Linked DNA regions of Coturnix japonica. The protein of the gene in region 2 purifies or fractionates together with the protein of the main gene of each other region. This does not show direct contact. Links are inferred from orthologs where the notes say so. Each region holds a gene or a part of one and is shown on either strand. Other genes may lie near its edges.

Region 1 (3,817 bases), on a different chromosome or scaffold from region 2:
CTGTTGTGTGTGTGTGTGTGTACGTACATGTGTGTGAAAAGCTGGTGCATGGCACTAGGAGAGACTAGTAAACAAGCAGGTACAAAAAAACAGTTCCACTGGCACTAGAAAGGACAGACCAATCTGCACTGGTTGAGTCCAGCATGGGAGGGAGGGGAGGGAAGGGAGGAACTGAGGGTCCGAGGGCCCACTGGGGAGCCCAGCACCTCTGGGCTGCGGGACACATCCAAGCAAGGAATCTGAAGACCACCGAGGTGGTCAGGTGGTGGAGAGCCTCCTCCATTTCTCCTCCCTCGCTGCTCAGGCCACCGGGGAATAAAGCCTCAACACTGCTGGTGCGTATGAGCTCGTTGCGTCTCTCCAGGACCGCTCAGGTTCAAGAGGGTCCTTCCCTGTGGGGCGCATGCTGAAGTCCAAGGGCCGGCGGGCAGGGCTCCCAGCAGGTGCTGGGACACCCGTGTTCCTACAGAGAATCCCGCTGGTGACAGCTTGTACCAGCCACACACTAGTCAAGTGGCCATGTAACGGAGATACACAGTGAGGGGAGAAAGGCATCTTCCTCGTTTCCTTGATGCGCACGCACACACACACATCTCCCGGGATCTTCCCTGGCCCAGGGCATTTATGGTGTCTTGAATATTGTGCCGTATTTGACGCGGTACTTGTTAATGCTCACAAAGTGCAGGGTCTCTGTGTCACAGGTGGTGGTGCAGGGCACCAAGCCCTCCAACCCTTCGCCCATTAGCCACTTGCTCGTCTCGGCTGCCATCTCACGGGTGACGTGCTCCTTGGTCCATTTGTCCACCCAGGCCTGGAACCGCTGGTGCAGCCGCTTGCTCACTCTTTCATGGGACTACAGAAACAAAGAGGTGTTAACGAGAGGTGGCTCCAGCCCCAAGCTGCAGCGTAACACATAGCAAAGAGGCCAGATCTGCAGCATAAGTGCTGGCCCTTGGCTAGTGGCAAAGGGAAGGTCCTGAGGAAGGCCTCCACAGGTCTCTTCCCAAGAAGCCTACCTCTAAGAGAATCACAGGACAAAAAGAACTTGGATATACCAAGAGATTGTGCCAAAAACAGGCCATTCTGGCACAGTGCTCTTTCTCTCTTTCTTTTATATATTTAAAATATATTTTCTTGCATCCTACCATGCAGTCAACAGGTTTGTGGTTAAATGTAGCTTCTGCATTTCCTTCAGCATACTGAGAAGTTATGCTGCACGCTATCGTGTAAGAGGTTCAGTAATTTGATGAGGTTAAGACACTCTGCGATAAGCACCAGCACATGGTACCCTGCTTATAAAGCAGTTTTTCCAACCTTGTGCCAATTGAATTGGGTAGATGGAATTCAATCGATCAAAATCCCCAGCATCGACATTTCAAAGACCCAATGCTGAAACGGAATACTCTATCTGATGCGAATATGAGTTTAACTAAATTACAGCTCATTAAATAAAACCATTACTTGTATTTCATCAGCAAGAAATAGATGAGAGCAGTCCTTTTAGAAGCTTAAATAAATGTCCAACAGAGCTGTGAAGGGATGATTTCCTAGGCAGGAAGCAGAGGACACCTCTCCCACTCCCTCATCTCCCAGCCAATTTTCTCAGCGGTCAGTAGGTCGCTCAGGAAGACAGTAATTGAATAAACAGAAACCCATTTTCTGCAGCTACAGAAGAGACTGCTGCTGACAGAACCTCTCAGGTACCTCTGCTTCTGGTTGCTTAAGCCAGCAGCTTTCACCAAAGTCTGACCCTTTTCACTTTCTTTTGACATTCTAAGCAACCACGCTCTGGTTAATGCTTTGTTTAAGTAGATTGTAATAATATTACAGCAAAGTACTTTAAACTTCCAGCCTACATAGCCATACTGACTGGAGTTTACTCTTAAAGCTCTCCAGGTTTTCTCTGCTGGGCAGAAATATTCCCATGGGACGAGAACAGTGTCAGAGCATTCTGAACACCTAACCAGGTTTCTCCACTCAAATCCCTCCTTAGGATGAGGATTTCAGATCCCCACGAAAGCACCCATGGTGGTTTGTGGAGCTGTGAGCTCCCCTGCGCTTGTCCTTGCCATAAAAGCAGTGGTTGTAGAGCAGCTCTGCCATGAGCGAGCAACCAGCTCTCAGTGACTGGGGACAGGAAAGGCTGAGGGATGGTACCCAGAAGGAATGGCTGAGACAGAGAACGTTTGATGCTCTGCACTCTGACTTCTTGTTGAGGAAGCCCTGGAAGAACAGGATGTCTCAAAAGGCACTATAATTGCATGCGGAGGACAGGTCTTCCCTACAACATGGGGACCACCATAAGGGGAAAATGTCTCCTGGATAAAAAATTGAGGAGCTAATGGTCAAAACACACTCTGGAGAGAAGGGGAGGGGCGAGAGGATGAGCAGAGTAGAAGGCAAGAAGAAAAGATTACACCTTAGGAACATTCAGTAGATCTTTGGTGTCTGGGGAAGACAGAATAGCACACCATCCTCCTGGCAACACAAAGACTGCTGAATGTTCCCCTGGGACCCCAAAGGACATTACATCTGGCTCTTCCCCATCTGACTTTGGGAGCAAGAGGTCCCAGGAAAGCCCAGCTGCCCACCCCAAGTCCTTCCACTCGCTCCTACCTGCTGAGCTCGCAGCAGAGCAGTCCTCCTGTACATGTAATCCTCCGATTTGATCACGTACACCATCTTATAGGAGTTCAGTTTGAATTTACACTCCAGCTTGTCCAAGCTCTCCACGTTCTCCATGGCCTTCTTACTGTTTCCCTCCTTCCCTTCCTTCTCCTGCTGCTCCCGACCACGCTGACACTTACGGATCCGCCTCAGATTCCTGCAAACCAGAGAACCCCTCTTGGAATTAGTGCCAACCCTCTAGGACTGCAAGGCTGGAGGTAGCTGCTGCATCTGCGCTGGCCCCTCAAGAACCTGACCAACAGCTTGTATCAAATTCATTCAGATTTAGGCCTCTACAACAAGACACCCCATGGGATTTATCCATTTCTGAAACCACAGCTATTTGCATTCAGCTCCCTGCTCATGAAAAACCCTGCTGTGGCACCCAGTGGTTCTAGGCAGAGGGTTACTGTAAGCCAAGGCAGAAAGCAGCCCTCACCCTCTCTGCCACCTGCAGATCGTGCCATCTCTCAGTCACTGGAGAGCAGGAGCCCAGGGTGGACCCACAGGCTTTCTGGACAAGCAGCAGCACAGTACCTCTATGCTGCACTGCCAGCATAATGGCTTCTGTAGTGGCATCAAAACACAGGTGATACCAAAGGCCCAGAGCTGCAGGAGAGCACGACCCTTTGCCCTCCAAGGGACAGACCCATCAGGGAGGGTTCATGGCATAGCCTGGCCACTTACCTGGGCAGGAAGACTGGTTTCTGGGCCAGGTGCTCCCGGAGCTCAGGGGAGGTAGAGTCGGAGTTGACGTACCGCTCCACGTAGTCTGACCAGCGCTGGAAGTGAGCACACAACAACATAAGGCACTGCTTTCCCACTGAACCTAAGCTAAATTGCAAGTCACACAGGAGAGCACTAGGACACCTCTGAATGCTCCCTGTATTTAATTCCTACAAAGGCAGGTACAACGCTTCTCTTTGTGATTTTCTGGCTTGTCTGATATAAAATAAACCAGGAAGGATTTACCTACTGACATCAATGAAAGCTTTACAATGCTTTGTTGATGTCTCTATATCTTGTGCAGACAACCGACTGGACATCCTTGTCCAGCAAACCCTTGACCATCATAGTCATCTCTCTGGCCATGCAGCTCTTACCTCTGCTTCTACAGGGTCATCAGAGTTCTCCTCCTCTGTGTCCAGCA
Region 2 (3,817 bases):
AAAATAATGTTTGGTGAAGAAGATAAATTTACCCAGTTATATGCTTTCCCTTTTGAAAAAACCCTCACCGTATTCCATACAGCTATGGATCAAATAAGCAAAGCATGCATCAGTATTTACATAATCATCCCAGCAGCCACCCTTCTTGGGCTGCATGTAACACACGTCAGAGGAACACTATCTACTTTACACATAAATCTTGATGATTATCTGGGGAAGAAGAAAACAAATCACCAATAATATGTTTACTGTAGAGTCCTAAGTTAGAAAGGTGCTCCTGAAAAGTTCTAACTTAAAATATTGGCTTTGTCTCATTAAAAACAATGTAGTAAACCTTACAAAATATAAGACAGTCAGAACTAGCAGAGCTGTCGAGGGCAATAATTTCAATAAATTGATCCACTTTGGATAAAATAATGCTTTATGCATGTTACAATCTATTCAAAAGCAACAGCTGAACAAGCTAAATTTTCATCCACAAGAGAAGCATGACGGTCACTGAAAACAAAGGGAGTTGCTGGTCATTGTGGGTGTTATTTTTATCAAACAAACTGGTCACCAATGAAAAAAAAAGAATTTTTTATTTTTTCCATTTTAAAAGATCAACATTTAATGAGAAATTCTGAGCCATTACATTTGAAGAGCATACTTCATATCGTAAGCACTGGACCCAATTTAGAGGTAAAATGTCAGTTAACATGATTTAACATCCTCAGGTTTCTGAAGGCCGTCCATATGAAGTTTACATACAGCGCTACAAATACACATCAGATACTGCTGTAAATTTATGAGGAATACAAAACGCTATTAAATACAACTTTCATCCCATGGCACATCAAGCATGGCTTAGCAACAGTCAGTTGTGGTTATGCTTTATTGAATACTTTCCTTTCTGTAGCTGAGAAATATACAGCTTGGATTTGCTTCCATCCGGTCTTTTGAACCAAACTTCATCATGGTTAATTGTTGTAATTATGGCACTACAGAAAATGAGGGAAGAAGGGCCAGGGAAAGAAAAATAAGAATCATTTAGCAAAGTTAAAGAATAAATAACATCAAAAACTGCAGCTGTAATGTAAATGAAAACACATAGTAGGTATAACCGCTAGGCTCAGAAAGTACTGACTCCATTGTAAGGATGGTTTTGGCACCATTTTTTAATAACTGTGTATATTTCTAGTAAAGACAGTTGAATTTTCAGACAGTTATTTTTATTTCTTTTATGAGAAAATCATCACATCTACAAATACTTTAAACGTTACGAAGGACAGTCACTCAGAGTAATCAATAGACTACCCACAGTACACTAGAAAGCATTTCCAGAACATCCTTAAACTTATAAAACCCCAAGGTGTAGAACTAAAACAAAGCTCAAATAAACAAATGAATACAAGGAAGAAAGTGTTCAACTGTTAATCCCAGCACCAGGACCATGAAAAATAAAGCTAAAGCCTGACCTATTTAATTTAACCAAATCATTCTTACATGATCTTTGATTTCATGCTCCTTGTGGTAAACTCCAACACAAATACTGGGGAAAAAACCCAAACCTTAAAATGTTTCTTCCAAACAGAACTGGTGCCAAACATAGCTCAAAAACAGATTAAAACAGTGGAAGCAGAGGACAGACTCTATCAGGGTCCTCTATTACAGGACAAGGGGAAATTGCTTCAAACCAAAAGAGGAAGGATTTAGACTGAATAAAAGAAAAAGTTTTTTATAACAACTGTAGTGAAGTAATGGCACAGGCTGCCCAGAGAGGCTGTGGATGATCCATCCTTGAAGGCATTCAAGCCCAGGCTGGATTGGGCCATGGATAACCTGGCCTAGTGGATAGCAACTCTGTCACAGCAGAGGGTTTTGATCTAGTTTATCTTCAAGACTCCTTCCACAAGCAACAGCAAAAAGTAGTTTTCCATGATTAAATATTTTACAGCTGGCCAACAGATCAAAGTCTCAGCAAGAAAATTCCCAAACACAACCCTTAAATCACAGGCTGTCCAGAAATTGGTTAAGAGCTTCAATCCTTTAATAAAATCCCATCCTAAAGCGAATTACCTTCGGTAAAATTCAACCTTCACAAGGATGAATTTATTTCCAATTTATTCTTCAAGGCCACCACGTTGCCTTTTGCTTAACAGGACTATAGAGAACTGAATAAAATAATACTCACCTTGTAGGACATTCATCTTTCTTATCAATGTATATCGTCTGTCCACGTCCATACCACTCTCCATCATAATACAGTCTTCCTTCTTCAGATCTAGCACTATGTAGATGCTTCTCTAGTTTGACAGGTGCTAAAACAGTCAAATTTAATATCAGTTGGCAGAAGTCGGTAAGATTTAGAAATAAACATCCAGTAAATTATTTATACACCACATATGCAATTTTTACATTGTCATAGGTAGTCTCTCTCTAGATAGTTAGCTCCAAATGCAAGAAAATTAGAAGCATTATATTTATTTCTTTCCAGTCAGATAAATTAAAAGCTGCATTTCCATTTTAAGTTCTCTTTCATACAACCCTCCAATCTATGATGTGAAATTTCACAATTAGAATAATGCAACAAGACACATAATCCGAAATCTCTTCATCAGTGCATTATGCCCGAATGCAAGCAGTAACTGACCACTGAAGAAACCACTTGTCTTCTCTCCCTTTTCATCATTACTCACTACCTCCAAGCACTTGATTTTACCTAGCATTAATATGCTTCTAACCTCAGACCATGTTATCATTTACCACTCCTTTTCCATATATGTTTTTTCAGAGCTACAACTTGCAGTGAATGCAACGTGTGTTCAGAATGCTCTCTTAAAATTCAGATGATTTCAGCTTTCTGCCTCATTTTATGAAAATATTGGCATAATATACCAATATTCACTAGTAAAGCCCACTCTTAGAAGTCTTGATTTTTTAATTAATTTTTACAATTCATGCAGCAATGACAATCACCAATCCAGCTGCAATTATCAACAACTCAGAGCAGGGATAGACATATTCCAATTAGCTCACCCTACCCTGTGTTCAGCATACCAAGGCTAAAATAAATATAGCCTGCTTCAATGCAGTTTGCATCACTGTATATTGCAAGCTCTGTCTTGTGAAATCAGACAACATTTACTTACGTTCTGGCTTTACTCTGTGTGGCCCCAATGTAGCCATTGCCTAGAAACAAAAGAAAATGAAGACAGTCAGCAGACATTTTTTTCTTAATTGCCAGCTCAAATTGTTTTGCACAGCACAGCTCAAGACATTTGTTTTTATGTGCAGCATTAATGTTATGTGATACTGATGACACTATGAAATGCGTGCAAACTTTGAGTACTTTTTGGGGGAAAAAGCAAACGTTACTTTATTAATATGAACTGCTTGGTTACACTTGCTTTTAACTATTTGGGGAGGGGAGGAAAAATGACATTCTCTAATGAGTTTTGACTTTACTAATTTCAAGTTTCCTAAATAAAATTCTCAAAAATGGCCATTATTCTATTAAAAAAAACAAAACAAAACAAACAAACAAAAAAAACCAACACAAAATGACAATAATTCTGGTTCTGAAAAACTAAGTGCTATCTGAACAACACACCCTCCAGATTATTAAGTTATACCCACAAGCAGACAATTCACGTGAGTGAAAAGCTGTGAATCATATGCAGCAAAGTAGATTTTTAATTCTTTTTTGTTGTTGCTATTTCTTTAAATCATGTTACATTACAGCAAAGAAACTGAGTGAAAGCTATTTTTAATCTGTGCCTCCAATGAGACAGGAAAACAGACAGGTTTTCACGTCAGCACCACAAGACAGATGGAA

What was found.
Region 1: the proteins of BRMS1L (region 2) and SIN3A purify together in Homo sapiens (affinity purification with mass spectrometry; 3 studies listed by BioGRID, with this or other methods). This does not show direct contact. The link is inferred for Coturnix japonica from reciprocal best matches to the Homo sapiens genes BRMS1L and SIN3A.

The regions. Positions count from the first base shown.
Region 1 is NC_029525.1:1,961,972-1,965,788, forward strand, and holds part of SIN3A (paired amphipathic helix protein Sin3a), read right to left. Parts: coding exon 3,771-3,817; intron 3,450-3,770; coding exon 3,355-3,449; intron 2,825-3,354; coding exon 2,617-2,824; intron 854-2,616; coding exon 623-853; 3' UTR 1-622. UniProt on the Homo sapiens protein: Acts as a transcriptional repressor. Corepressor for REST. Interacts with MXI1 to repress MYC responsive genes and antagonize MYC oncogenic activities. Also interacts with MXD1-MAX heterodimers to repress transcription by tethering SIN3A to DNA.
Region 2 is NC_029520.1:32,955,539-32,959,355, reverse strand, and holds part of BRMS1L (breast cancer metastasis-suppressor 1-like protein), read right to left. Parts: intron 3,172-3,817; coding exon 3,132-3,171; intron 2,301-3,131; coding exon 2,174-2,300; intron 981-2,173; coding exon 857-980; 3' UTR 1-856. UniProt on the Homo sapiens protein: Involved in the histone deacetylase (HDAC1)-dependent transcriptional repression activity. When overexpressed in lung cancer cell line that lacks p53/TP53 expression, inhibits cell growth.